Schizosaccharomyces pombe: one gene and its partners. The protein of the gene in region 3 interacts with the protein of the main gene of each other region in a pairwise test. Each region holds a gene or a part of one and is shown on either strand. Other genes may lie near its edges. The genes, in order: rga6, rga4 and rho2.

Region 1 (10,424 bases), on a different chromosome or scaffold from region 3:
AACCCTATACGCTAAGTCTACTGAATAGAAAAACTTGATACTTTTATTTACATTGAAATGAAGAGCAAATTTGTATAATACGTATTATTGATTCTAGAAATATAGCAAATTGAAACATCCAAATTTAGCAAAACAGCATGTCGCTGTTGTAAAATTCTCATGAAAAAATAGAATGTCTAACCTTCACTACTGGCAAGATTCGTTCATGTAGATGTAGTTGAAGAAGAGACAGTGTCATACACAAACGTAGAAAAAGTTCTGAAAAGGAAAAAGACTCCTAGTAGATTATAATTCAAATCAAATCAAACCAATTAAATTCAATAGATCGATGTCTTGAAACATTAATTCCTATAAGGTTGAAAATAGTAGCAATATAACGCAAAAATAGCGAGTCGTAATAGCAAGTAAAATGGTAGTCATTATAAAGGGTTAACTGTATTTCAAGTATAAAGAACGGAGAAAGTTGGAGCAATGGCAATAACACATCGAGGAGTAATTTAGGAAAGTAGTGAGAAAGATGTTAGAAAGGAAATTTAGTAATTTGTAAGTAATGATTTCAGAACTTGGAACGTGAAAGGGAAAAAGATATTTTCATCATAAAGAAAAATTTGCCCATCGTGAAATAGAGAAATAGTGAGAAGAAAACCACCACCGAAATAGCGAGACCCGCAGTATGTTACTTCACGAGTCTCGCTATTTTAGGATTGCATAGGTTATCGGATGGAATCCAGTAAACAAATGGGTAAGGAAAAGTGCGATCAATGATGAGTGGGTTGGGTTACAAATCAATATAGTCAGGTGAAATTAATTCGTTTCTCGATATAAAAGCAATTGAGAAAGGAATTGGATAAAATTTACAGAGAATTAAAAAATGGAGACAAGAAATAAGTGAAATGGGAGTGAACGCTCTTGTAAAAAAGCTATTGAGACAAGTGAAACGGTGAGAGAATGCGTTGACAAATGTGAAAGAAAAGAGAAAAGGGAATGAATATTTATAACAAAAAAAGGTAACAGGATTATCGATGAATTTTGGGGAAAATTTATGTTGAATTGCATGACTTTTTAGAAATCACGCCTCGAATACCGTTAGACATATCATGGTAAACATGTGATTTAGGAATTGGCACATGTAAATGAGGTTGTTGGGTAGAGAGCGGATTTGAATGGTGGTAGATAATTTAGGGTAAATTTGGGATGGATAGAGTAAATGTGAAAATAGTATGTAGGATGGCGGGGGATGCGTGCGAAAGAAAAAGAACGATGCGAAATGAATTGTAAAGTATGTGACTTGGGATGATGCGAAAAAAAAAGAGTCTGGAATAAAATTTGAAGAAGAGAAGAAATACAGTAGGTGGGAGTGCAATGAATTGAATTGGAAGCGAGGAAGCGAACAAAATCGATGGATAACAAGTGAATGAACAACAAAGTGAATTTAGTTTAAAGTCAATTGCTTTGTTGAAAATCAATTTCCTCTGTTTTATCAAGTGTGCGAAGGACAAAGGGAGTAAGAAAGATTCAAAAAAAAAAAAGAAAAGAAAAAGAGGAATTCCTTTTATGAGACATCCAGTTTGTTTGCGAGAACGCCAAGAACTCAAGCGAATATGGAGAGACGACGGTGAAACACGGTATGTTGCATAGTGTAGTGCGGGGTGGATTGCAAGGAGAATGGGTAAATTAGCAAGCGAGCTGGACCCCATTACTGTGATGCATGAGGTAACGCAATGTGCTAAAATGTTTTGGAAAGAATGACACTCTACGTTAGGATAGTGCACGTTGTTGACACTGCTCGTTATGGAGGACAAGGAAGAAACTAGTTCGGCCGTTTGAAGGGAATGGGAATGGGAATTGAATGAAGAAAGAATGGATTGAAGTAGTCAATTGATTAAAAACTCATATTTTTTTGTGTTACTCATTGACCTTTATGAAGACAACAATTCTGGGTTTCCATTGCTTACAGTGTGTTTCCATAGAGCAAAGTTCTTTTTTGATGGCTTTGTTTTTACGTTGCATTACTGTGTTATTCCTCACTCTCTGTATGTGAGTCTCGCGCTGTTTCAGCTGCTTCCTCCTGCTTCCTTCGGTTCCTTTTCCTTTCTTATCGGACGGTGGCCCGCCAAAATTAATTTCGCCTACATAAAAAGTGACGCAATAGAAACTCTCGGAACCAGTATGGACTTGAGGATGAGCGCATCCCGGACCTTGAAAGGATCCTCGTCGATGGTTGATTCGTCAGCTCATTCACATAAGGTTTCTCTAGAAGGTGAATTAGGGTTCTTTCAATCCGAATCCGCCAACCATCACAAGACCTTGTAACCGCCCCGGAAACTCAAATTGTCCCAACTGCCGATCAATTTTTTCCGAAGAAACAGCTTACGATTAACCGAAGGAACGTCCTGGGCAGTCAAGCGCAGAGGAACATAGTGCAAAGCGTCGTAGTTCAGTATAGTCGGACAGCAGAGTATTGTTGAACTCGATAAAGTAGGGGGGGAGAGAGAGAGAGAAAAAGGAGTGGAAAGTGGTAGTAGGTAAATGAGAGATGTCAATAGAAAGCAAAAACTTTATACAATAACAATCTCAACATCAACGATTTTCCTTTTCCAACTGAATCTCTTTTCCAAACTGTGCACTGTAAACAATTGTTCTATATCTTCTCCTTGTTATTCTATGTCTTCTCCTTCATGTTCCACGTCTAACCCGCTCCCTTCCTACCTTTTCGCTACCCTCCTACCCTCCTACCCTCCTCCATCCTCCCTCACAAACAGATGATGTTAACGAGACTTTGCACCTCGTTATTCCCGAGGAGCCGCTGGGATGCCATGAGCCTTGCTAATAGCCCTGTTAGCACGGTCAAACAAAATCATGCAATTCAATGCAAGAATCGTCAGCCTAACAACAGCTAACTGGGCCAACCCTCTAAACATTCCATTCCATCTAGGCATTGGAAACGCCATTCCAAGGGCGGATTGATGGATGATGGAAGGGACGAGACTGACACACACAGCAGATATACTCGATGACTATTAGTGAAGTGAGTCGATGAATAGTGAAGTAAATGAACATTTTTATAGAATCAATAGAAATGGATTGAATCCAATTGCATTCGAAATTTCACAGTTGACTTGGATTTACCACTTGTCTCATTTCTCCCACTTGTCCTCTTGATTACTATGCTATGCTATGCTATGCTATTCTCTTCTCTTCTTCTTTCCTCTACACTCATTGTTTACATTTCTTTTTCTTTTCCACCGCCATCCCAACTCATCCATTCCATGCCATTCCATCCTTGCCTCTCTCGTTCCTGTCAAGCGAGGCGAGGGAAAGGTCAACGCAATGCGTCGATTGTTGTATGATTATGAGCCAAAAATATTCGCATGGGAAGTTATCTAGAAGGCCGCTAATTTCATTATCCGATCTGCCAAGTACCGAACACGGAAATCGCCGCTTACGATACCGTCGTTGGCATGACAACTCTAGCGTAAACACATACAATATAAATAGGAGTGGTAGGCCAGTCTGCTTCTTTGTAGTATCAAGAAATCAGCAATAGTACTTGTTTGGTTTTGAGAAATAGCAATCGAATTAATTAGGTATGTGATGCGCTGTGGCATTGGCAAAGCATTGGCTTGGTGAGACATGTGACATGTGTCAAACACCTGCCAAGAGGGAAAAATAGATTGAGGAAAAGGAAGGGATATTTTCTTTTGATATTCTCTTTTAGTTGAAAAAGATGGATTTTGAGCGATGAATTGAAATGAAAATGGTCAGTGAGATTGCCAAGAGAAGAGGCTCTCTGATTTTACTTGACATGACGAAAACATGTCATATCCAGTATGGTGAAATTGTACAACGAAGTCGTGATAAGATTCGTTAGTTTCCGTTTCTTTCGGTAAAGAAGGCTTTATTTTTCGCTTGACGGCAGTTTGGTCAGAAATTAAAATAGACTTGCCGAAAGCGACAAAGCTGCTGTTTTTAGTATACTTTCTTTTCTATTCTTCTCTCAATAATGATATCTTTTCTTTTAATGACGCTCATCGTTTCTTCTTCTTCTTCTCTTCGCTTTCTTCCCTCTCTCGCTTCTTTTTGCCTTTTTCTCTCCTCTTTGATCTCTTCTTCTTACTAACTCTTTTCAGATAACAATGGCAATTCCTAAAGTTGGTATCAACGGTTTCGGTCGTATTGGCCGTATCGTCCTCCGTAACGCCATCCTCACTGGCAAGATCCAAGTTGTCGCTGTCAACGATCCTTTCATCGATCTTGACTACATGGCATATATGTTCAAGTACGACTCTACCCACGGTCGCTTTGAGGGCTCCGTTGAGACCAAGGGTGGCAAGCTTGTCATCGACGGTCACTCCATCGATGTCCACAACGAGCGTGACCCCGCCAACATCAAGTGGTCTGCCTCTGGTGCTGAGTACGTTATTGAGTCCACTGGTGTCTTCACTACCAAGGAGACTGCCTCTGCTCACTTGAAGGGTGGTGCCAAGCGTGTCATCATCTCTGCTCCTTCCAAGGATGCTCCCATGTTCGTCGTCGGTGTTAACTTGGAGAAGTTCAACCCCTCCGAGAAGGTTATCTCCAACGCCTCTTGCACCACCAACTGTTTGGCTCCCCTTGCCAAGGTCATCAACGACACCTTCGGTATTGAAGAGGGTCTCATGACCACTGTTCACGCTACCACTGCCACCCAAAAGACCGTTGACGGTCCCTCTAAGAAGGACTGGCGTGGTGGTCGTGGCGCCAGCGCCAACATCATCCCCTCCTCCACTGGTGCCGCCAAGGCCGTCGGTAAGGTTATTCCCGCTCTTAACGGTAAGCTTACCGGTATGGCTTTCCGTGTCCCTACCCCCGATGTTTCCGTTGTTGACTTGACCGTCAAGTTGGCCAAGCCTACCAACTACGAGGACATCAAGGCTGCTATCAAGGCTGCCTCTGAGGGTCCCATGAAGGGTGTGTTGGGTTACACCGAGGACTCTGTTGTCTCCACCGACTTCTGTGGTGACAACCACTCCTCCATCTTCGATGCCTCTGCCGGTATCCAACTTTCTCCTCAATTCGTCAAGCTCGTCTCTTGGTACGATAACGAATGGGGTTACTCCCACCGTGTTGTTGACTTGGTTGCCTACACTGCTTCCAAGGATTAGATTGCTTCTTTCGATTTATTCCGTCGTCAATCTATATCTCTCTAATCAGCCGTTGTTAAACTCCAAGCTATTCAACTGAACATGCGTTCGGTTTTGGGGGGTCTTACATATGTGCGAACTTTTGGTTTTTTATTCTTATGCTTGTTTTCCCCCTTTTCCTTTTCTGGGGTTTGCTACGATAATGATAGACATGTATGAGATTTTCCTCTTTTATTCCACGTTATCATTTTGATTGCGCTCCTAGGGCGATCTCTATAGCTGACGACCTTTCTACGAAATAGATTAAGATATAATTTTAAATGAATTGTTTTTTCTTCACTTGTTTTTAATGTGTAAAAAATCCGTAAAGTATGTGGTGTATGAAAATTTTGATTTGAAATGTGGTAGTTTATTGGAGGTAAAAAAGGTAGACTGATTTATAAAGCATTATATAGTTATCATAGTTGCTTGTTAGCATTCTATTACCGTTTGCATTTGAGATAATTGTTTTCGTCTTGATGATAGATATTCGCTAAGATGTTTCCATAAACTTGGCCCACGCTTTTTTGGGTGAAGTAAATAATTTTTCAGTCCTTTTGAGGGCCTCTGCTGCCTATCTTTACTGCCCCTATTTGCAAGTTTCTAGAATGGAAGTGTAAGTCAAACGATAAGAAAAATTATATATTAATAGATAGCAATTTAAATTTAGCATTTTCATTCTTAGTGTTCGTTCACTCCACTTTCCAGATCAATCTCAGACCATCAAGTATGATGATGAAAGCGAGTGTTCCATTTAGGCGGTTCTCGCAACTCTTAATGTTTGATACTTAGAGCTGTTTGTGCTTCAGAAAATTATTCAAAAAATTTCATGCTTGCATTTGATTCTTTTCTGGATAACAGCTAATCCTGTTTTTTGTATTTTGTCCTTTGGTTTTTTGATACCGCATTGCTAGTCACATGTACCCTCATAAAAAATACAGTTATATCTAAGCGAGAAACAATCGCTCGATTGCGAGGCTCATCTATGGAACTGTTTATACTTGTGTCTCATGTTCCAATAGCTTGAAAGTGTGTTTAAGCATGAGATTGTTATTTAAATTATCAATTCATATAGTAACAATATCTGCTTTGGTGCCAAACATTTGAATTCCTTACGAACTAATAATAAGATTGCTTCTCAGATTTCTCAGTGGAATACTTCCATTAGTAACTGCACCATGGGAGTTTGAAAGCTGCTGTCTTTCCTTAAATTACAATAGTCCGTGTAGAAGATGAGTTTTTGGTTCGTTCAATATGTGACTACTTGTTCACCTATCTTTCGCTTCGGCTCGTACTCTACTTTTCAACGCCTGCTACTTGGCTGAACCTCTTAGTAAGTAACGGATGTAGAACGGTTCTTACCAAAGCCAACGTCTCTCTAATCGACATTTATTTCAAAATTCTATCAGTGGAGAGTATATATTGAGGTTTATAGCTTTTACGGGCCTCGAAAACCTCGTGTAGTAAAATTTGAAATTGTTGGGAGAAGTATGACCTTAAATCCTTCGACTCTCAACAATGGAACTCTTGGGGACCTGAAAGAGCACAAGGATGTCGTCTTGTCTAGCAATGCGCAGACCGATGAGAAACGTTTCGAAGAACCGTCGCTAGAGGTGGGAGGATCGTTAGCGAAAGTGGAAAATGGCCTTTCCACATCAATTTCATCATCTGCAAGCAATTTGGAGGGACAGCAAGCTCCTTTCTTTACTAAGCAAAATTCGTGCTTGTCACGCTTTCGTGAGCTAGCTCAGACTTACAACATACACGAAATTAATCTCGAGGAGTACGTTTCCCAGATAAAAGAGGTTAAACAATCTCTGTACTCCGACGATAGCGTATTTAATGAATCCAAAAGTTCTTCACCTCCAGATGCTCATACTGATAAATATTTCACTCCATGTGGATCCCCTACTAAGCTGATACACTCGACACTATTGGAAGAGAGAGATACTCCGTCCTCCCTAGAACATGTTAGCTTTTACCTTCAAGAAAGCGCAGTATCAGAAGTTCGGTTTGATAAACCTTCAAACAATGGTCCTCTAGGGAGGTCATCCCTAAATCTAAGCTCCCTTTCACACGAGTTACAAACTTCACAAGATTCTCCCTCCTTGTCGGCTACGAATCAACTATCCTCATCAGATACGTTGGAACCTCTCCAATACCCACCATCTTCATTTGGCTCTCAAAGACAGTTCAATGCCTCTCAAGATTCTCCAAAGCGAAGCCCTTCCAAGGGATCTTGGTCCTCTATCCTCCGCCGCCCCTCTCTTACTTACTCTCCAAAACGTCAGTCCACTGGCTTGCATCGTCGTTCTTTAACGAATTATTTTAAATTTCCTCATCGTAATGCACATCAACATAATGCAATTGCTCATAATCCTTCCGTATTTGGTAAACCTATCGGCGATTTAACGTCAGATCCCACAAATCTTTGCAAATTTACATTTCCCACTCCTGAATGTGCACCTCCTTCTTTGTTGCTCCCACATATTTTTGCTCAATGCGTACATTTTCTATCTTTAAATGCTTTGCATGTACCGGGAATTTTCCGCATTAGTGGTTCTGGTCCCGTAATAAAAGCAATCACAGAATACTTTTATTCTCCACCTCATTTTTGGCTTGATGAAACATCAGAAATTTTTAAGCGTATTGGATTTCCAAGTTATATCGATATAGCAGCTGTCTTAAAACGGTACATTATGTTATTGCCAGGTGGCCTTTTTACGCATAAAGATATATTGAATCTTTTAGTACCATTATACGTTGATTCAAGTAGAGTAAAGGTTCCTATAGACATCCGGAATGAAATGGCCGCTCTTTGCTTTTCACAAATAGATTCTTACGTGCGCTTTTCTATCCTTTGCTCTCTACTAGCATTATTGCATCAAATAGCTACACGGACTCAAGAGTTGGAAAATGGAATGGAAAATACCAAAGACTCTACTTTGATGAAGCCGGAAGCCCTTGGTATTATTTTTGGTCCTTTATTGTTGGGTAACTCTTCTACTGATCTTTCGAAATCTTGTCCTTCTGGAAATGTGAATGACCTTATGAGATTTGAAACCGAAAAGGCTAGAGTTGAAGCCAAGATTGTAGAGGGACTGATTATTCACTGGCCAGAGGTACTACTTAAAATCAATTCTCTCGACATACCCAATTGTTTTTCTGATGTTGGGTTAACTGACCAAGTTGCTATTTTTACTCCTGCAGTCCCGAAAGAAGATTCTCCAGAACAGATACCTGAAAATGTGAATGCATCTGAGGAAAGTTATCCTAATGTTAAGCATATCTCGAAGCTTCCTTTAATCAATGACTCTTCCGATAATGAATCGGGTAACCAAGAAAATGATGATGCTGTAGCAAATGAGAGTACCAAAGTCGTTGTTGACAATCAACAGCCCCAGCCTAAGATTTCCACCGTTTCTGATACTGCTGTTCCTTCCATGAGTTTTGCTAATAACATTTCATCGCGGTCGGTTATTTCAGCTGCTACAGATAGTAAACCGTCAACTCGCACATCACCGCCATTCGTGAACAATACAAAACCGATCGTCGCAAAGTCACCGGTCACTGTTACTGCTTCTTCGGAAACCAATAAAAAATCGCAGAAGATTAATAAAAAGGCATCTCCAAGGGTCAGTTTGTGGACAAAACTGTTTGGTAAATTCCGATCAAACAAGAAGAAATCTTAAGAAAGGATTTCTGTTTTCGGTGTCATTTATTTATCATATATTACAACCATTTGTTTGCTCTTAAAGTTTAGGTTCATTTTGATATTTTTTGGTTTCATAGTAGTATTTATTAAGATATGCATGTTAGTTTTTCCATGTCACATGTTTTATTCAGGTGTTGAAGGGATAAGTTTATTATTTGGAATCAACTACGGACGAACTTTTATCATCTTCTAAAAAACTAATCATTAATAAAATGTGATTCATGTCATTAAGTCAAATAGACTTCCGAACTGGCAAACGGGGTTGAGACGGTAAAAATATAAAGAGATGAAGGGTAATATAATGTGCCAATAAAAATAAAAATTAAGAATCTGTGTCCTGTTCAATTAAATGCAATGCCCGGCCAGATAATAATATAACATCGCCTTCACCATCTTCATACTCTCCATTATTAGCATCTCTAGCAACTATGTCATTAAGTAATTCGATGATATCGTCGCTAGATTGTATAAATGCAGTTAAACGTGGAACTATAATGAGTTAGCTAAAGAATATATTCCGTATATCGTGTGTAGACAAAATCGTCAATAAATTCTCTAAAAAAAACTTACCACCAGCCTCTAGTAATTGTACAATGGTCCAAGCAGCAATATGGGCAAAAGTAGAATCTTCACTACTTAAAAACCTGACCAGATAACCATGAATGCCACCAGCTGGAGAATCCCAACACTCTATGAACCGGCTATAATCATCGACATTAGAAGAAAGATTACCCAGAGCAGCCGCAGAGTTGCCTTGGACTTCAATCGACATAGAGTCTGTCAATGGGATTAAAACATTACAAATACCAAAGTTAAGAAGATACGACTTGAATTCGTCACTTAAAGCAAGAACGGCTAGACAGGCAGTCATTTCACTTTGCACGCTAACAGGAGCATCTAAAATTAAACAGCGAAGTTTTTGAATAGCATTAGCTTCGATAATAGCGCGCTTATTTCTCTCCGAGCTAGCAGCTAAGTTTCGTAAGGTAGAAACAGCATGACACTGTATTTCTTCATTTTCCGTACAAGATAATAAATCCACCAACGGACGAAGAAAACCAGCATCAATTATCGGAGACTCATTTAAAGGATGTATAGAAATGTTACGGATACAGGCAACGGAAGCAAGTATTAAAGGAAGGTAGGAAGAACGAAGCAATCTTAATAAAGAGGGTAGGGCATTGCTTTGAACAATTTCTATTTGATAACGCTCATCAGAGGCAAGGTTTCTTAATGCTAAAGCAGCTTGGCACTGGACTTTAGGACTTGAAGTATCCATTAATTGAATAAGAGAACGAACGAGTTTCGGCTCACTTTGGGCAAGTCTTTTACGGTGTACTGCATCAACAGCAATATTACTAATAGAAGTAGTACAATAGTATTGAACGTCAGTGTCAGAGCTAGGAAGCAAAGATACTAGCACTGGGATAGTACCAGCGCTGACAAGTTGCTGTCGATTTTCATCTAGTATCATAGTTAGTTGATATCCATAGATTATGAGACAACCACTAATTGAAACTTTTTGCTCAAAACAAAGCTCAATAGAT
Region 2 (11,026 bases), on a different chromosome or scaffold from region 3:
AACTCGGATGAAAACATCCTTTGTTCTTGTTTCTATACCGGAGCGAACTCGGAGTGGTTACATAAAAACTTGTTTATAACAGGGCACCCTGACGGGATCATACGTATATGGGAGAAAAGGTTGCAATCGAATGCAAAGTTGGAAGCTGAGAAAAATAATGCTGATCGTCCGAAGTGGAGGTTTCATTTGTTACGACAACTTCAACACACTAAAGGGCTCGGCAGGAACAGGGTTGCAACTCGGCAAAATATTATTACCATTACTCCAAACGGCCAAGCTAGAGGTATTTTTGCAGGAGATGACAAAGGACAAGTATTTTCTTGGATGCTGCCAGATACAACTTCGAACGTACATTTGGAAAAAGATAATACTAGTGAATTGTGTTCGTTGTGTGATTCAAGGTTTTCGTTAATGGAATGGCGAAGTCAATGTCGCGCGTGCGGAAATTCTAACGTTTGCAGCGACTGTGTTTCTATGTTGAAAGACACAAATATAAAAACCTGTTATGAGTGTTACCGACAAATGCCTTTATGTTATAAGAATTAATTTATGTCTTAATAATAGATTAGAATAATGAAAAATTTTTACACCTAGTTTGGTAACGATGCTTGTAGGGCTAACAAATATTTTAAAATATTAGTAACCATTCTCTTTGTTGGAAGAATAAAAAGATGTAAAACGTCTAAATGAAAATGCATATAACTCACCAAAATATTATTAACCTAAACCCTTAAATTTCAACTCAAACTATAATACAATAATAAAGAAAGGAATTGTAGTTTTCGAAGACTACAAGATCACAAATGAAAAGCATTAAAAAACCCTCCGCAAAACGTTTTCAACTTTCTGCTGCTTGGCATTGTCTGTGGGCATATTACGATTACTGACAATGCTTTTTTGACCAAAGAAGCGGCGGGCTTGCTTGCTTGGCTTAGTATCTTCTGATAAGTCTTTTGTTTCTTCAGGAAACTCTGTAGAGACATTGAGTGTATCTCTTTCACTTCGCTTTTTACGAATACCTTCAATCATTTTGGCATTTTCAACATTTCTCATATATTGTTTTAACTGCTTGCGACCCTGCTCAATTTCAACCTTCAGGCGAGATTCACGGGCGGCATTCTCAGCAGCAATTTGTTCAGTGAGATGATGCCATTTAAACTTAGGAAGATATTTCATGTTCCATATATCATCGTGATACCAACTGCTCTTTTTACCACCAATTTGATTTGTATTAAGCAATTCTGCAACTGATTTGGCAACGCGTTTGCTTTCAAATTCAATCCAACCTTCTTCATACATTACTCTTTTATTTCCGCCATTTCTCAGCCTTTGTGCCCTCTTAGCTGATGACTCAGGTGTTAAATATACCCTTCCAATTTTTCCATACTGAGAAAGAATTTGTCTAAGCTTGTTTGGTGCCATGTAAGGAGGGATACGAGAAAGATATATAACTCCTGAACGCTTAATAGCTTTTCTTTGCTTTTCAACTTCTTCAAGTGATATTTTTTTTATAGAATTTGCATTTTTTGTGGTCTCCTCATCCAGCTCATTTTCAGAGCCGCCTGAAAAGTCTTCATGGTCTGAAGTTTCAGACTCGAACGTGGAATCTCTCCGGAAGCGATCAAGATGGGCATCTCGTTCCTCAAGCTCATCGGCGGAGCTTTCAGATTTGACCTTTAAAACGTCTACAACTGGTTTTGTTGATCTTGAGGAACGAATAGCTTTTAAAAATCGTTCATCTTCTTCATCTTCACTCAAATCTTGGTCAACGTACTTCTCTTCTTCTTCGGCCCCAAATAATTGTTCAGCTGTAGACATATTTGGCTAATGATTTGCTTGTTGGTTTACTTTTCAATCTAAAAGTTAAGAAGTAATCTTTTAAAGAAATTCTATGCCACAACAACTTAATCTTCGAAACGCCTAAATTGTAGAAATGAAAACTTCTATACACTCGAGTTTCATGAATTTCAAGTGACAATAAATTGTTACCTAAAAAGGAAAACCGTGAAAAAAGATGAGAATGAAATGATTTTAGTAATATTTTATGTTATTTATAACTAACATTTTTCAAGTTAATGATCTATGATCAATAAAAAGGTAATAGAGGCTGTTTGCAATCTCAACAAAGTATAGGTGTTCAAATTATTTGAAAGATGAGTGAATCCTCGAAGATAAACAAAGGAGTGACTAAGAATGAAACATCATGGGGGAGTGGTTATAATTGACAATGCTTTATCTGAGATACAGTAGTCTTCAGTAGCTTTTGGATCAGGCTAAGAATTAAATTTAGCGATATTTTATCCCTAGATTTCTTTTGCTTTTTCTTTTTAACATAAAAAATTGAAAACAACCTTCTCTCGAAATTATGGTGAATTTATTAGAACGGATTGAACAGTTAAATTACCAGTAGATGGAATATGTTCGGTCAATTTTTCACCTCATATCAAATCAAAGCACTAATTTGGATACATCCTTATCAAAATATTCCTTTTCAAGATGAGCAAGACGCTTTCTTGAAATTATGCTATGAAACGACTGTTTATCGGGCTGAAACACTTTAGCATAAGGCGAATCACAAGTATAACAAGTTTGCTTTAAGAATGTAAATAGAGAATCATTACTGTCAATATGCTTTAAAGCGAACTTCAGTAACTCCTTAACATGAAGCAATCTTTCCCTAGGATCGAAATAAACTTGAGGACCAATATTAAAAAATTTGCATGCTTGATTTTCAGAGCTTTGAAGTAACAAGTGGGGAGAAAAAAATGATTTATCAAGAATATGGAAATATGGTAATTTAGAAAGTACTTCGATCCACGCATTCGCAGCTTTTTGCCTGAGTAATGGAGTAGGAAAAATTTGAATTAAAAAAGCCATAGAGTCACATAACTGTGCAGAAAGCATCTGTGAAAAATTTGAAAAATTTACATAGTCCCTTTCAAAGGAACCCATCAAGTCAAGTAAAGGGGACCTTTGGTTTAACGGAAACTGTTTACAGGCTCTAGCTACCGTACACTTCTCCAAAGGTGTACGAGGAAGTTTGCTAAGGTTGAGACGATAACTGAAAGAATCACTAATTAAATTAAATGGAAAAGATTTGAATAGAGTTTGGAACCTGCCAAGGTATATTCGCGGTCTGGTTTCAGTCTTTGGAAATAAACTGTAGCAATCCTCCCACAAGGAAACACTTTGATTTAAAAGTACAATGGTACTAGTTTCATCAAGACAGCTTCCAAATCTTTTCAAAAGGCTCCTTGTTTTGGTGATTTTAGAGTCCACAAGTAGGCATTCTATATGTTTGGGCTTTTGACTTCGAAGAAGAATGTTGTCAACTCGTTTAGGAATTGCAGATGAATTTTTTTTATAAACAATCGCCTTTGGCTCTAGCATTTTGCTGTGCAGCTTACAATGGGTTAGGATAACCGGTCTTTGGTCAACTGGTTTTTTTATTTGAGACTTTGCGACGAACCAGCCGGCTTCAGTCGGGCCCAAAATGCATCGTTTAATAACATCTGCCATTAGTAAAATTCCGTAATTTTGTTCACATAGATAATAAAATATCCTGCTTAAAGACCCTCTTTTCTCAAAAAAAAGTGGTAGTAAAACAGGAGTTGGTTTTTTGTTAGACGTTCGAAACTCTATTTAACCCCCTTCAAAAAATTTACCATATAACGTATATAATTTTTGTTTATAGGAATTGCTTTTGGTTTTTTAGAATTCCATTAAGATAATGGGCATGATATATCTACAAAATCACTTACTCACAATACGTTGCACTAGCATTTCCTAAGTTAGGGATCTTGGGAAAAAATGCTTCTTTAAATCCTTGAAAGCATAATAAAATTAAAAAAAAATACAAATTTCTCCTTTTTTATACATGCAATTGCATTTTATTCATAGCCTAGCATTGTGAGTAATGCCAAGTAGACTAAAACAGGGAAATGATTAAATAAAAGCGATGGATGTCAGTCTGCAGTGATAATGCATTATGAAGAAGCTATACGCCAAATCCATAAAACACTCATCTGCCACTGATTTCACGATGACATCTAAAAATGACCAAAAATGAAACTATCTTAGCAAATGCAAAAAGGAATCTCGATATAACTGCCCAAAGTTATGGTACAACTACTAAAACAACAAAAAAAGACGAATAAAGAATATAAAGGAACGTGCAAAACAAAAGAGCGAATTATTAAAGGATAGTGTGAATTTAGGCAAAGACTTCATGTACATGATCTATCAAAAACGCAAGACTGTAATTCTTAACAGTCATGTCAATAACGTCTCTGGAATTATCGGGGTCGCGTATTAATGTTGGGGAAAATACTACTGCAAGGTTCTTGGATGTCATTCGATTTGCATGACTATATGCAGCAACCCTTGCTAAATGTCTAATAATGAGCTGCAAAATTTCAGCATGAGCTGGAGGAAGACTTTTGATGACCATTATAAAACCGTCTAATTTATCTTGGAAAGAGGCACAATTTGCTGCTGTGATGAACGGAAAGTATTGGTCATAGGTAATAATTGGATTAGGAAGGTTGCGAAGATATTGCTTGAATACAGAAGTGACAGCAGAAATATCCTCACTTGGATCAAGTACCGTATCTTCATTTCTTAGTAACGCAACAATTTTTTTCATTTGAGAAGTTGCCCCTGATTTGCGATACAGACCTTCAAAATCCATGCCGTATGACTCGATAAAATTTATACAAGAAACGATAAGCGTCGGGACTCTCAAGAGTGTTAGCCTGTTTTGATCGAAGTCGTCAGGATTCAAAGCCCAAACAGGAGATTCGCTTTTTTTAGATTGATACTGACGATCTATAGTAGAACTAACGCAATCCTGATAATGTGCTCTAAGCTCATTGGAGTATTTACCGCAAAGTTTGCAGTGACCGACCGCTGGAACGAAATCCTCTTGTTCTTCAGAAGCTAAATGTTCTTCAGAAATACTGGGAGTACTCGACATGTGAGGAGAATCTCTTTTCCAATGAAACCGTTTAGAAAATGACTTCTTAAGATCTATTTTAGAGTTCCGTTTGTTATACCCTCCACTCTCCTTGTCTTTATTGTCTTTGGGTCTAAATCCAAGGCTAGATGCAACCATTTGTAGACGCGAAAACGATTCTCGCGGAGACGGGGTTGAAATCGTTCGGTTGGATTTTTTATCATTATTAAATATTCCGAAAGAGGAAGAAGTTCGCTTCTTATGCTGCTGCTCCCTCAAGTATGCCAATTCTCTCTCCAATTGATTGTTAAGGCTTACCAGTTCTGTGTTCTTAACATTCAGATATGCGGTTTCTTCCATTACAGTGCTGTAAGCGTTTTGCAATTTAGAGACAGTCGTAGACAAAGCGTCTCGCCTCAAAAGTAAGGTAGACAGTTCAGGTTGAAAAGATTTCCGTAAATAATCTAATCTATAATTTAAATCTGCAACCAACTCTTGCTTGAAAGCTTCGGGGGACACGGGAGTCTGCTGCTCTATGATAGAAGCCAACGAAGTCGCTTCCAACAATAAGGTTCCAACCTCAGCTTGAAGCTCTGAAATACGAATGGCGAGTTCATTTGCGCTTTCCTCTGTAGCATCAAATACGTTTGAAGTAAACACATCACTTGCTCTAACCAAAGAACTTCGATTGTATTCAGGTTCACATGCTTGATGCAAACTAACTTGCGACAAATTTAAACTTTTGGCCCGCGGGGAAGCCTCATAATTTGAAGAGTTCGTCAATCTTTTCTTCAAGCCGTTTGGTTCGCTACTAAGTCGTTTGTCATCTAACTTATTAAATACCGTAGGATATCTAGGAAATCTAGCCTTTGTAGGAGTTTCGTCGCTTTCCAATCCGTTAACGTAATATTCGTCAAGATTAGATAAACTGTTTCGATTTCTAGGAACCTTTAAATTACATTTATTTGTGACATCACGAAGAGCACCCCTTAAATGGATAGGAGATAGAGCTATTCTGCCAGACACATATCCATATTTAGATGGTGATGTTGTTGTCGAAACAGATTTGTAATTCATAGTAGAAGAGCGGCGAAGTGGAGGAGGATTAACAACGCTTTCATTTTTAGGAAGTTGAGGAAGCGTACCATTTTCGGTTGGTGATTGAACAAAGGCGTGATAAGCAACAGGTTGCTGCACGCTATTATTATTTACTACTGAGCTTTGCCTTGAAGAAACTGGTTCAATTGGTATCGAACTTCCAGAATGAAAAGAGTCACACGAATCAAATGGAGAGGCATTAGCTGAACGAAATGAGGGACCATTAGCTAGTGGAGAGGGAGAGGTTTTAACGAAAGAATTTTTGGGTTTAAGTAAGAAGTCCTTTTGGATGTCTTTGTAAGATTTTGCGGAGTTTATATCACCAGGTGTTTCATAACCATTAGTTTGAACTTTTAATTGAGGACGGAGAGAGTTTGTAGGAGAGCTGGTATTTTGCATTCGACCAGATAATACGGAGGATGGAGAATCAGACGCTATAAAATGCGGGTTTTGAAAGCCTTGGTTTTGCCCTAAAATTAAAGTTAGAAACATAAAGACAATATCAATAAATACTACATAAGCAACAAACTTACCAGTTAAAGAAGTGTTTTCCGCAGTTTGTGCGATATTCCTAAGAGGAATAAACCCTGATGCGCTTTCCATAACAGCCTTTTGATTCTCTTCATCTTGTTTACGCAAACAAGGAAGGCAGTAATGTTGACCTTTGAACTTGCCAAAAGCATTTGAATTAATGAAAGCTCGACAATTGGAGCAACAAGGATGATTAGCTTGACTATTGCTTACTGCGTTGAACTCGCAAATAGGAGTTGAGCAACCGTTGCAGATATCAACACATAATTTACAGAATATTTGCTTTTGATCGTCTTGAGAAAAATCTTCAGAGGAAGGGTCTAATTTTTTGTTGCAGTTCACACATTTAAAACTAGCAAACCGTCTTAATTAGTAAATCAAAACAACAAGAAGCACAAACAAGGGTAATCTTTGGAGCATTTTATATTTTTTTATTCAATCTATAAGAAAAAAAAAAGATCCAAAAATCCCAACGTTTGCATTTTCAATCATACCAATCGGAATGCCAACATTTCCCACCGAACCAAACTTGAGAGGTACTGGGAACACTCTAGAGCAAAAGTTAGTAAATGCCGTTCATTACAGCTGGGAAAAAATAAAAGAGCAGTGTCCAATTTCAAGACAGGGTCTCGTTTTGTGAAAAGACCGCTCTCCGGACACGGCGATTAAATTTTGAACCTCACATACTTCCCAACATTTAATACAAAAACAAGTACGTTCGGATGGCGTCTCCAAACTAAGTCTGTCCAGATGAAGTGTCGTACCCGAATTCATAAGGAAATCAATATTCTGAAAATTAAAAGAAAGGTGTTTCCCAAGAGAATGGATAGGTAAATTACACCAGCTCAAAAAATGAGCGGCAGCTAAGATAGAAAACTCTTTACGGTTTTATTCAAAGTTTGTTCTTGATTAAAAAATAAATAAAAATACCAAGGCTTTACAACATTTGCTAGCTCTTTTAAACTCGTAGCCGTTTGTGGTGGAGGTCAAAGAATAGGACCTTTGTTTATATAGAAGGCTACACTGGCATTTGTTCCTTTTGTTACCGCTATGGCTTTGCAGCGAATAAACCACCAGGTTTCGATCTAGCTATTATTAATATTTGCTTATTTTCCAGATTCTTTCTATATCGTTTCCTTATGTTTCATACTTTGTGTAAGTGATGGTTGCTTCCTTCATATTATTTTGAGATTTTGAAACATTTAAAATGATATTGCTTATACAAATTTATCGAGATTTATTGTACGACTAAAAATGAACTATACAACATTCCCCCTGTTCATCTTTCGTTAGTGTTATTAGCAATCCTGTCAGCGAGAACGAAGTATTGCTCGACTCTTGAGAAAAAATAAGAGTGGCTTGTTTCTGTGCTACTTGATTAGTTCGTTCAGTTAAGCGTAATATAATTTGTATAAAAAAAACCGAAGAAACCCAATAACCGCAAAGGGTGCATTACGGTTCACACGTCTTTTTTTATAGTCGAACGACGTCTTTATGTTTAACAACTCTTGTGTAATCCCTTTTTGTTTCTTTAATTTACTAATTTAATCATCATGCATTCCAAAGAAAGTGGATGGATTAACTCAATATCGTTTTCTCATCAAATACGATTCTAATTAACTGGTCAAAGAGTGTTAGATGTCACAGCGTATAGCAAGTTGATTAATAACGGTTAGTGCCAGTTTCTACTTCTTTTTACTGAAAAGATGTTTGTTGTTATTATATCAATCTAGCTGTGTTTATCGACGTTTTATCTTTTGTTTTCAATGACAATTTATTAACAAAATAAGAAATAAAAAAGGCATACGAACAGTGGTTGCCGTCCTGCACAAATCGTTGAACTGCTTAAAGTTTAAACTTGTCATGTGCTTCAAAATTCTGCGTGGATCACGTTCATTAAATTATATTGTGCACTTAAGATGTGTATCAAAGTTGATACAGTGGAGCACTTTTGATTTTCAAAAAATTTAGTTTCCGAATTTAATAACCAGCTTGAGTGTCTGTTATGGACATAAAAAATATAACGAGAAAGTGTGGTGATCTATGGGCAGGTCGATGACTGGATTCTGACTTAAAATTCAATTAGCAAACAAATACTTCGGGATGTCGTATCCTAATCCTTCAGCTGTCTTAATGAATAAAGATCGGACGGCCCACAAATTTTCGGAGAACTTTGATGGTGTGCGAATGAGCACGTTGTGCCCGTAACAGTCAAAAGGAGTAGTTGAGAATTCAATGTAACTATTATAAAGTTTAGTTACACGTTGGATTTGCTCTCCTCGAAATCCAATGAGTTTTTTGTGAATCTCCTCTGGAACGTAAAAGTGCATCTCAGCTGGAAATTCAAGCAACATTGTGTTCATTCCTTTAATTACTCTTTCCAATTCGTCACTATATATATCAACCGTGAATATACTCGTCGACTGGGGACAAAACAAGATGTCCCCATTCTTTAAGTTGAAACGGCATTGCTGCTTTACCTTATCCAGTTTTCCATTTTTTTTACCGGATATGAAATCTTGATCCTTGGTTGGGGCTTCAAGCAGTATCTGGTGCCATTGGGATTGTCCAAATTTATAAAATATTTTGCTTGCTTTATCCATTGCTATAGGCACGGTGTTTTCTTGTCCGAAATATTCAATCCCATTGGTTTTTAGGAGCATTTCGACTCCAGAAGCCATGCAAATTATTGCAATTTGAGCTACAAATTCTGTTGGTGGAATACTTAGCTTCTTAAGAGGAGAGAATGACATTTTTTCTCCTATTCCATTTGTTTCCACTATGGAGCCAGTCGAGGATACAATAGAGGACAATTCAGAGCTTGAAACTCCTTTTTCAATTGTAGACGCTCTTCTCCAAGAACCAGCAACTCTCAGAAAGTCTTCGTTGTCTTCAACTCCAAACTGAGTTTTTCCTTGTACATATTTACTTGCAAGCTTTGCCAATCGGAGTGCTGTTTTTTCAGAATTCGCTATAGAAGATGAGTAGATTTTGACTTTTGAATTTTCTGGGCTCGTTTCTCCTCCTTCTTTGAAATACTCAGGAAAGCGAATAAACGAAGAATTTTCTTCCATAATAAGCCGAAGCTCATCCATTTCGTAAGCGAGAAATTCGAAAAGCTTAACAAATGAAATTTCTGTTACGTGAGTAAACAGTTTTAGATGTTCTTCTGCGTAATAAAACGCCTCTTCGAGTCTTTGCAATTTTTCCTCTTCTCCTGTAATAATTATTTTACTTGAGTTTAAGGCGGGTAAGGTTTGAAGCCGAGGGATTGAGTCGCTGCAAAACGGTAATGTATAAATATTAATTGATTCAGTAGCCTTCATTCCGGCAGTACTAGAAAATGCTTTTCCAACGAGAATTGGCTGAAAAGATACAGAAGTTGCAATAGCTACTACCGATAATCCTCTGATTTCATCCATTAATGCTAATACGCGAATTCTAGCATGTTCAACGCTGCAATAGTCACCATAAAAGACAATAAAAAAAGAATTCTCTGCGTTCTTTTGACATGAAAATTCATGCCTAGTAGACTCTAAATGCCTTTGGTAGAAGCTTTGTTGTTCATTTAATCGATTGCTGAATCCGCTGTCAGTACGTAGCTGAAAATCGATATCATGACACATGGAACGATGCATGATATAAATTTTTGCTCCCGTTATTTCCGTTATTTTGTCCAAATGTTTCATAGTGTCTTCATAAACGTACCCATCTTCATCAAAAAGGAGGTTTTCGAGGGGTTCTTCGAGCACAAGTTTGCTGATTAGAATTTTGGGAATGGCTTGCAAAATCTTTATTTTTGCAGTGTACACATTTTTATAATTTCCTGAAACAGTAACCACTAGTTCATTGCGGGAAGATGATATGCTCATTCCTTTATGTTTGACATGTAGTTTTATATTAACTGGCAACTCTTTTTCTGTCTCAATGCACTTTTCTTCGGTTAATCTCCTAATTTGAGAGTAAATATCGCTTTCATAATAGTCACATTTACTAGCATAAAGGGATGCCTCTTCGGGAGGAGGTGTAGATGGATCAGGAATTGGAAATGCTAAAACATGAGAATCCATTTTGGTGATTTTAAGCACAAAATTTTCTTATTGTTAAATCGTTTGATTGGAAATTTCGAAGCTTAGTGAAGAGTAAGTTTTTCGTGTTCGAAAGAAAGATTAAAAGAAATCCAAAGGAATGATAAACGATATAGGTTTGAATACAAAATTATTCCGAAAGTTACTTCTGAAGGGTTGGTTGTTGGTTGTGTTGTTGCTTCCGTGAAAGTTATTGTTTAGCTTCCAAATGTAAATAAACAATGAATAAATCTTGGAATTGATATGCGATTGGCAATGAATGATAGCTTAAACTTTAATTTTTTGCTGAAAAATAAACAGAACGTTTTCGCAGAACGATGTGTATTGTACTAGTTTGACTGTGGAATACAAGTTT
Region 3 (9,223 bases):
TTGATCCATTAATTAATTATTATCTAACCTTCTTAATCATTTCAATAGACACTCTGAAGTATGGTTGATAGTTACTCAGATTTCATTTATACAATATTAGGAAAAAGTGTGGACCGATGAATGCATAAAATCGTTAGACAAGGTTTGATTAACACCATCTCTTTTAATTTGATTTTATATTTTATTTCATTATCTTATATTTTGTAACTTGGGTTTCGCCGGCCTTCAGCCTCAAGACTGCCGACTGAGGGTCGAACTTCACCCAGCAAGAACCAACTACACCAAAAAAAAATGTCGGAGACTAGATTGTTTGTTGGCCGTATTCCTCCTCAAGGTTTGTAACTAAATAATGTAAATAGTATTTTAACAAAAATTTAGCGACTCGCGAGGATATGATGGATTTTTTTAAAGGTTACGGTCAAATCCTTGATTGCAAGCTGATGAATGGATTTGGCTTTGTTGAGGTAAATAAAACCATTAGCCTTCTTTTTGTAATCCCTATGTGACTAACTTGATGTAGGTTGAAGACGCTCGCGATGCTCGTGATATCGTAAATGGTACGTTCATACCATCTTAAAACTTTTGCTAACAGTTTAGACTTTCGTATGCTTCAAAGGTTTAATATTCGACTTTATTTACTAATCTTATAAAAAAGAGGGCAAAGAGTTTATGGGCAGCCGGTAAGTCAATACATTATGAATTTAGATTAAAATATGCTAATGTTCGAAGTATTGTTGTAGAACCTGCTCGCGGTGAAAGAAGAAGAAGAGAGAACTTTAGAGAAAGTGCTGCTTCTAAGTACGTTGTTACGTTTCCATTAATATGTGATTAGTGGGCGATTTGGCATTGCACGCGATTGCTGGTTCTAACGATTTTGTTCACTTCACATGTGAATCAGCTCTGAGTAGTGACTATATACGGTGTTATCGCTTGCAAAATCGCATTGTCCTATAAAAATTACGGCAATATTTTTATACTAACGTATCAGATACCCCCGTCCCCGTCGCACCGGTTTCCGTTTGATTGTGGAAAATCTCTCAGAAGATGTCAGTTGGCAGGTAAGACAATTTTATACATTTAATGACCTTTGCGTCAATGCATGATTTTTTTCATATATCTATATTTCAGTGTTAACACTTTTCATAGGACCTGAAGGATGTAATGCGTAAAGCTGGTGAACCCACTTTCACAGATGCTCACCGTGAAAACCCTGGTGCTGGGTAAGTTTCTACTTTGATCATTTTTTCACCTAACTTTAATGCAGTGTTGTTGAATTTTCTACTGAAGAGGATATGAGAAACGCTTTGACGAGCCTTAATGGTGAAGTCATTAAAGGCCAAGCAGTTACTTTACGCGAAGACCCTGTAAGCATCTAATCTTTTTTAAAGATCCTTGCGTAAATTTTCTAACGATTAGCAGGATGCCGCTAATGAGCCCCTTCCCGAAGTACCCTCCCGCTTCCGTTCACGTTCTCCACCTGCTCGCCGTCGTTATCGTGATGATTATCGTAGAGGAGGCGATTACCGTCGTGACGCTTATCGTCCCGGCAGAGATGATGAACGTCGTTATGCTCCTCGTGGTGAATACAGGCGTAATAATCGTGATGAATACCGTCGTGGTGGTCGCGATGAGTATAGACGTAATTCCAGAAGTGATTATCGTCGTCCTCATGATGATGAGTATCGTCGTCCTAGAGGTGATGAATATCGCCCTGGACGAGACGAATACCGTCGTTCTCGTGATGATGGACGCCCTTCCCATGATGATGAGTATCGACGTGACGCTTATAGCCGTAGTCCTTCTCCTAGACGTGATAGAGAAGAGAATCGCTCCCCTGCCTATGAAGGTTCCAAATCCTATTCAGCTGCTCCTGAAGCATCAATGGAGTCATCTGCTCCCACTGAATCATATGACAAACCTGCTGCTTCGGAAGAACAACAGCCTTTGCAAAACCATTCTGATGTAGGTAACGGTAGCGCTGAAGGACAGGTCGCTGCTGAATGGTAAACATAGAAATTTTTCCTTTGGTAAACTATTTTTTAGTGTCTGCTTACTAGATTTTCCTGTCATATGTCTGTGGTCTTAATATCCTTTGTCTGTGATGTATTTGAGTATGAATTTATCTCTCTTTATTGGCGATTTCCTTTCTTACGATCAAGAATGAAAGGAATGTGTAATTTTTAGTGTAGTTCCGGATTTTTGCCGCGTATTTGTCATTCTTTATCATTTGGATGGATTTTGGTTGTTTTTTTTTGGTTGTTGTTCTTAATGAAGTGAACGCCCGAAGAAAAGTTAGTTGTTGGAGTATGGGTGTTTAAAGGGTATATAATTTCACATAGTTGTTTGATGAGAGTGACCACTTTAACTCTTGCCAGTCTTGATTTCCAACCCATTAATGCCCAGAAAAAAATAGGCTCGAAACTTTAGTAGGTGATAAATTTTGATATGGTTGTATACCTTTGGCGGTGTCTTAATATTTAGCTTAAATGAGCCAGAATTTTGAATTTGACCGCCCCATAAAATTACTTAGCGAAGTGAGCCTACGTATTAAATGTATCAATAAGGAAAACTGACATTTTCTATTAGCCTAAGAGAACAAAAGCATATGTACATATATGAATTTTGTACTTCATAATGAGCGCAAGCGGCAGTTCTAAAAATAAAGTCCTATGATCTTTTAAACAAAAAGTAGTTTTCATGAGGACAATAGATGCTGAAAAAGAATGAAAGATGTTTAAGAGTAAAAAAAAAAGGTAATAATAACTGAATGCGGTTTGCTTAATGAAATGAAAAAGGAGGCTAGTGTCGTTCGACCGATGCGTGAAGATTATAATGATGAAAATAATAATAATACTCCTGAGTCTCAAAATAAAATAGGAACTAAATTTGAGGTATAGGGGAGAAAAAGAAAAAAGTAAACGACAGAAGTGAAAGTGAAAACGAAATGAAACAACGGCAAAGAACAAATGCGAAGAAAAGCAAAAAAGTCTATCAGCTTTTTGTAAATGTAGGTCGCATAAACTGATAGGCTTTCCTATAAACTGAAACATGAATGTTTGCAATCGTTAGGATATTAGTAATTATGAAATGATGCAGCATTTTGTAGAACTCTTGTCATTTTCCGAATCCCGAACTGTTAGTGCTGCCCTAGTAGCAGCTTCAAATACATCGTCCACGCCGTCACCAGTCAATGAAGAACATTCCATATACTTTCTCGCACCAATCCGCTGAGCTACTAATTCAGCCTGATATCAAGAATTAGTATTCACGTGTTTGAATTATTAATATATACCTGTTGTGATTTTACAAAATTTTGATTTCGACGTCGCATTTCTTCAATAGCAACGGGATCTGACCTTAAGTCGGCTTTCATGCCCACTAAAATAAACGGAACATTTGGGCAAAGTGTATTAATTTCCTCAATCCACTATATAATGTTAATGACTGGAAAAAACAATTAATGAAACGAACCTTCGTAGAAACATTTTCAAGTGAATCAGGAGAGTCTATCGCAAACCCAACCAAAATAATGTGTGCTTTAGCGTAAGACATTGGTCTTAATCTCTGCATTGGGTTAACGACGTATTTCTCACTATTAATAACGAAACAAACCTCATATTCCTCTTGACCTCTAAAACAAGAATTAGTATGCAGGAATACATAACATATAGTTTTAACATCAGAAAAAAAAGTACTTACGCGGTATCCCACAATGCCAGTTGAACTGATTTTCCATCAACCTATTTTAGTTAGTATCAAATGTATTAGCAAAACCCAAAGAAAAGGGACCAGTGGGAAAGTAACTTTCTGTAACCAACTGAAAAAGCTCAATAACTTGTTAATCACACATACTCGACAATCTGAAACATAGTTTTCAAACACAGTCGGAACCTATAGTAACTGTTATTAAAAAACTCTACGAAATAAAGAGAAAAAAGCATTACATATTCCTATCGCCAGTAAGTTAGTAAATAAATAAATAAATAAGGTAGAAAAGACAATAAGTATTTGCGTATCGTGCAATATGCGATAAGCCAAAGCTCACTTTTATGACATCTGTACTTACAGTAGGAAAATATCCCAAAGTGAAAACGGATAACAAAGACGTCTTCCCGCAGGCACCATCGCCTACAACTACTAGTTTCCTTAAAAATATTAATATTTAAAGAAAATGAATTTGAGTAGAAGAAATAAAAGAAGCAAAAAGATATTAGGCCATAGAATCGTACCTTCTAATCGGTTGAGATTGCAACATGTACTTTTTAATAGGGAGCGGATTAAACACTGTATGAGGTTTTTTCTATGCAAATTTTTCTTAAAGAATGATTCACTGCAGATCAGACAACCAAAATTTCCCGGTTCGAAAAGCTGTAAAAATTAAACCAAATAGGTGTGAATTTTTGAAATATAAGAAATGAGTAAGCGATTGTCGAAATAGTCAAATGAAGCGATTAGCCAAACGTCCAAGCCTTTCAATTAGAGCAACGAAAAGTAGTATATGCACAAAAATTAGCTTCTCAAAGAGTATTTGTTCAAGAAATGTGGTTTTGGTGACATTTATCCCATGCGGATTATAGACACTTTTGGTGTTAAGTATCGTAAATTCAATTTATTGGAATCGTACGCTTCCTTATTGCACCTTAACATGCCTTAAAGAACTAATTTTGCACGTTAAGATGCATTAAATATGATAAAACGCCATTTGCCGTTTGGCTTTATTCACCACATTCTGCAAAGCAGCAATTGAACTAGTTAAATCCAAAAATCTTTGTGATTTGGATCATCTGGGTTGAAATCCCTAAGAAGATATACTATTTCAAGTACTTTGGGGTATACTGTTTTTGAATATTGAACTAAGAAAAGGTGGGCAGTTCGGCATTTAAGAATTTTAGGGATTACCCTTAAAACATTGCCAACGCAGACCCGTGAGCTACAATTTGAATAAAAAAAATAATTTAAATTATTTTTTTTTTAAATCGTTAGTTTCATATTTTAAGCTCATAAAAAAAGAGGCGTTGTTGGTAGGCGATTTTTAAAAAGAAAACATGAATGATAAAGCTCTTCGCACCGAAGCACTCAGTGTAGGGTTAGAACCTCCAAGTTTCAAGGATCTTCTTATACCTATTCCCAACTCTGGTACAAAGAAAAAGAATAAAAAGAAGAAAAAACCGAAAGCCAAGAAAAATGTCGAGACTCAAGCAAACGTGGATTTGCTTGGGTCGGCAGGGACCGATTCTGCAGTTACAGACGTTGGCGCGAATAATGGTGTCATAGATCATCAAGCGTCTTTGGAACTTTCAAATTTGAATTCTCGTATTTCTCATCCGCAGCTGGTCTCGGCAAATGGTGATGATTCATCGTTGATTAACGTCGAAGGAATATCTTCGACGGATTGGCAATTCACTCTTGAATCTGACGATACCATAGAACATTCTCCCCAATGTATTCTTTCTACCTCCAGTTTCGTGGATGAAGCCGAGTTTCCAGTTCATATACCTGGTTTGGAAGACGCGACGTCGTCCAATATGTCACCGAACTCCGTTCAAAATAATATGAATTTGAATACAGTAGCGTTAGGTTCGTCAACTTCATCTAAACGGAAAAAGAAAAAGAAGAAGAAGTCAAAAGCAAATAGTGCATCGTTGAATGTGGATGATCAAAGAGATTTTGAACAAGTTTATTCTACGGACGTTGCTATTACTTATAGGAATGGGCAAGCGCTTTCTTATTACAACGGTTCTGTGCGTCAAGCCAGTATGAATAATAACGTTAACAATAATAAATCCAAAGATATTTGGAGCAGTTCGAATACTGAGGAGCGGGAGCAAATTCGGGAATTTTGGCTTTCCTTAAGTGAAAGTGAACGCAGGTCGTTAGTTAAAGTCGAAAAAGAAGCTGTTTTGCAAAAAATGAAAGAGCAACAAAAATACTCATGCTCTTGTTCGGTGTGTGGAAGGAAACGTTTAGCAATTGAGGAAGAGTTGGAAGTACTGTATGATGCTTACTATGAAGAATTAGAACAATATGCTAATATTCAACGTAACCTTGCAAATACCGAGTCTGTAAACGCTTCAGACGAAGGTTCAGACAAGTCCCAGAAAGGAATCATCTCCGATTCACCTAAGCTTTTATCGATTCCTCTGAACAACGTACCATCAAAATCTCTCAATGATGATATAACCCAAGACGAGTTGAATTCTTCAAATGCTGATGTTGATGAAGAAGTCATTGAAACTACTAGCTTGGAGGAAAAAAACGTGGATAATCAAGAATTCGTCACTTCTATAAGCAACGGAAATCAGACATTGGAAGACACTTCACATTCCCCTCAAACACAGCCTCCTTTTCAGCCTCCTTATCCCTCTAAAGCAGATGAGAAAAATAGCTATCATTCTGATCTTTATAACTTCGGGAGTAGTTTAACGGTGAAAGGAGGTATCTTAACGGTAGCGGATGACCTATTGAAGAATGATGGGAAGAAGTTTATAGAAATGATGGAACAGTTAGCTGAGCGTCGTATGCAGCGTGAAGATAATAGCAATTTTCACGAACCAGAGTTATACGAAAGCGGGTTGGAATATGACGAAGATGAAGAAGAAGACGAAGAAGATGTAGATGAGGACGAGTTAGATCTAATGACCGATGAACAAAGGATGGAAGAAGGACGCAGGATGTTCCAAATTTTTGCTGCCCGTTTATTTGAGCAACGTGTGTTGCAAGCTTATCGTGAGAAAGTTGCTCAACAACGGCAAGCTAAACTTTTAGAAGAGATTGAGGAGGAGAACAAACGCAAACAGGAACGTGAGCTCAAAAAAATAAGAGAGAAGGAGAAAAAGAGGGATAAAAAGAAGCAATTGAAATTGGCGAAGGAGGAAGAGCGTCAAAGACGCGAAGCTGAGCGTCTTGCTGAACAGGCTGCTCAAAAAGCATTGGAAGCTAAAAGACAGGAAGAAGCTCGCAAGAAACGGGAAGAGCAACGTTTGAAGCGTGAGCAGGAGAAAAAGCAGCAAGAACTTGAGCGTCAGAAAAGAGAGGAAAAGCAAAAGCAGAAGGAAAGAGAGAAGAAACTGAAGAAGCAGCAACAAGAGGCTGACCGTGAAAAAATGGCGAGAGAACAACGACTAAGAGAAGAAGAAGAAAAACGTATTTTGGAAGAAAGGAAGCGAAGGGAAAAATTAGACAAAGAAGAAGAGGAACGTCGGCGTCGTGAGTTACTTGAAAAAGAATCAGAAGAGAAAGAAAGGAGATTAAGAGAAGCTAAGATCGCTGCTTTCTTTGCACCTAATCAGACTAAAGAGGGTTCTGATGGTTGTACTACTTCTTCTCAACTTGGCCTTTTTGAAAAAAAAGGCGATCTCGTAAACGATGAGGATAAGCTTTCTTCACATCTCCTAGATTCTGTACCTAATGCTTTGCGGCAAGCTCCCATAGGCCTTAAGAACACAAATAATTTATCGGAGCGCAATGCTTCTTCTAATCTGCTTAATTCTTCGTTATTTTCATCTTTTAATTCCGTCAACCCTTTAATTTCTCTTGAGCCTAATCCTTTAAATAGAACACTTAATAATTCCGTAAACTTAACTGATTTTGGTAGAAAGCCAAATGGTTTACATTCTCCATCTTCACTCCTAAGTAATTCCAACAATTTTGGATTAAATCCAAATGCTCGGCATTCTCTTAGTAGAGCCAATTCACCGGTGCATCATTATCCTTTTGCAACACCTCCTTCTCAACGTGCTAATAAATATCCATTGAATAATGGAGCAAACGTACCAGCTTTGCTTAATTCATTTTCAAGTCCACAATTAAGTCCTCTAGTAAATAGAGTTTTGAACGAGCCGTCTAGTTCCCCTTTATCGTCCTCAAGTTTGAAATCCCCGTTATCCAAGGAAGGCGTCTTAAATCAACAAGGACATGAGCAGTATAACTTCTCACTGTCACCATCTATCCGAAATAAGCTATCTCCTATTTGTCGTCCTAGTCAAGGGAGTTCTCCTAAGCTGAAGAATAATTTGTCCAACACAGAGGAAAGGATGGGTAGTCGTGCACTATTAGATGACAAAACAGATTCTGTTATCACAGCTTCTAATTCAACCACTTCTGGTCTGTCACGAGATGAATCTAGTAATCCTAATAATTATGAGTTGTTAAACGCGTTTAATCAAAACACCTGGAAAATATCTCGGTCGACTTCCAATAAAAGTCTTATTCCCGAAAGTCCATGGGGCGTTGCGCTGGGCGCATTTACTCCTAATGCATCTACCCAATCTATTCCTTGGGGAAATCGTACTTGGACAGATTAAAAAGTACCTTCAAAGAAGGCAATTTATCTAGTTCTGTTAAGATTTGTGTACATAAATATTTTAATTATTTCGTTTGTTTTATTTTAATTTTAATAACTGCAAATTGTAGCCTGCTGTTTACTTACTTCAATTTATCTAACTCACAGATTTTGGCTTACGCCATGAGTTGAAGTAATCAATTCAGACTTAGTACTAAAAAAATAAATAGCAAATTGTATCATCAAGTGATTAATTTGCTAAAATCACAATTGATCTTATTTTAAATTATTAAGTCAGTAAATTAGTAATGACCTTATGGTCTACGATAAACTCGAAAAAATTAGGTAATCTAAATCAAATGCAAATCTAAATTTCCGGAAAGACTTAAAATGAAATAATCAAATAAATTAAAATCATAATTAGTAAACATAACGGTATGAAGACGACAAACTCAAGAAAGCAGTTTCAAGAGAAATACCAATGTGCTACGAAAAGGTTTCAAAAAGAGGTGGAAGCATTTCTGGTTGAAAATGAGCATCCACGTCTATAGGGGACGGTTTTATACCTAATGCATCTAATGGAGTAAATTTCTCGATACATGAATCACCGTCAAATCCAGAGATATTAAAATTATAAGTAAACAAAGGGGTATTAGATTCTTTAATATGTGGAGTAGCGTAATCTATCTTCGGGGTCTCGAGATTCATTGGATTCTCTATAAGACCAAGTTCAGTATCATTGTTATTGATGTCTCCTTCATGTGATGAAGCGCCATTCCAAGTAAAAGGACCTTCAGCTGAAGGTTCGGGAGGCTGTAAAATACCCCACAGGTAAGAATTCCGCTCAGCAGTGTCTATAGCAGTGATATTTGGCTTTAACTCTACGGGACATGGTAAAGTTGTAGAAACATAAACGGTACCATTCGAAGAATTTTTTAAAGA

What was found.
Region 1: the proteins of rho2 (region 3) and rga6 interact in a two-hybrid assay, tested with the Schizosaccharomyces pombe proteins (one study listed by BioGRID).
Region 2: the proteins of rho2 (region 3) and rga4 interact in a two-hybrid assay, tested with the Schizosaccharomyces pombe proteins (one study listed by BioGRID).

Annotation. Positions count from the first base shown.
Region 1 is NC_003423.3:574,595-585,018, forward strand, and holds rga6 (Rho-type GTPase-activating protein Rga6), read left to right. Parts: upstream 1-6,550; 5' UTR 6,551-6,652; coding exon 6,653-8,854; 3' UTR 8,855-9,199; downstream 9,200-10,424. Other genes in the region: glyceraldehyde 3-phosphate dehydrogenase Gpd3, read left to right, coding at 4,137-5,144; protein Vac8, read right to left, coding at 9,200-9,366, 9,448-10,341.
Region 2 is NC_003423.3:1,835,954-1,846,979, reverse strand, and holds rga4 (Rho-type GTPase-activating protein Rga4), read right to left. Parts: upstream 7,565-11,026; 5' UTR 7,358-7,564; coding exon 7,271-7,357; exon of another isoform or gene 7,134-7,270; coding exon 7,078-7,133; exon of another isoform or gene 6,936-7,077; coding exon 6,586-6,935; exon of another isoform or gene 6,523-6,585; coding exon 4,214-6,522; 3' UTR 3,793-4,213; downstream 1-3,792. Other genes in the region: lvs1 (beige protein 1), read left to right, coding at 1-546; U3 snoRNP-associated protein Esf2, read right to left, coding at 814-1,818; protein Cbp7, read right to left, coding at 2,449-3,519; SPOM_SPBC28E12.02 (BICC1 family RNA-binding protein), read right to left, coding at 8,662-10,653. UniProt on the Schizosaccharomyces pombe protein: GTPase-activating protein for Rho-type proteins.
Region 3 is NC_003424.3:4,418,034-4,427,256, reverse strand, and holds rho2 (Rho family GTPase Rho2), read right to left. Parts: upstream 4,567-9,223; 5' UTR 4,256-4,566; coding exon 4,230-4,255; intron 4,146-4,229; coding exon 4,067-4,145; intron 3,951-4,066; coding exon 3,945-3,950; intron 3,892-3,944; coding exon 3,853-3,891; intron 3,741-3,852; coding exon 3,700-3,740; intron 3,632-3,699; coding exon 3,613-3,631; exon of another isoform or gene 3,565-3,612; coding exon 3,472-3,564; exon of another isoform or gene 3,428-3,471; coding exon 3,293-3,427; exon of another isoform or gene 3,246-3,292; coding exon 3,081-3,245; 3' UTR 2,611-3,080; downstream 1-2,610. Other genes in the region: srp2 (guard protein for 5'-capping of pre-mRNAs Srp2/Npl3), read left to right, coding at 292-334, 379-464, 521-557, 598-603, 656-680, 730-798, 989-1,058, 1,147-1,220 and 2 more; protein nst1, read left to right, coding at 5,046-8,303; SPOM_SPAC29E6.09 (uncharacterized protein), read right to left, coding at 8,768-9,223. UniProt on the Schizosaccharomyces pombe protein: Involved in cell morphogenesis, the maintenance of growth direction, control of polarity and of cell wall integrity. Regulates the synthesis of alpha-D-glucan through activation of pck2.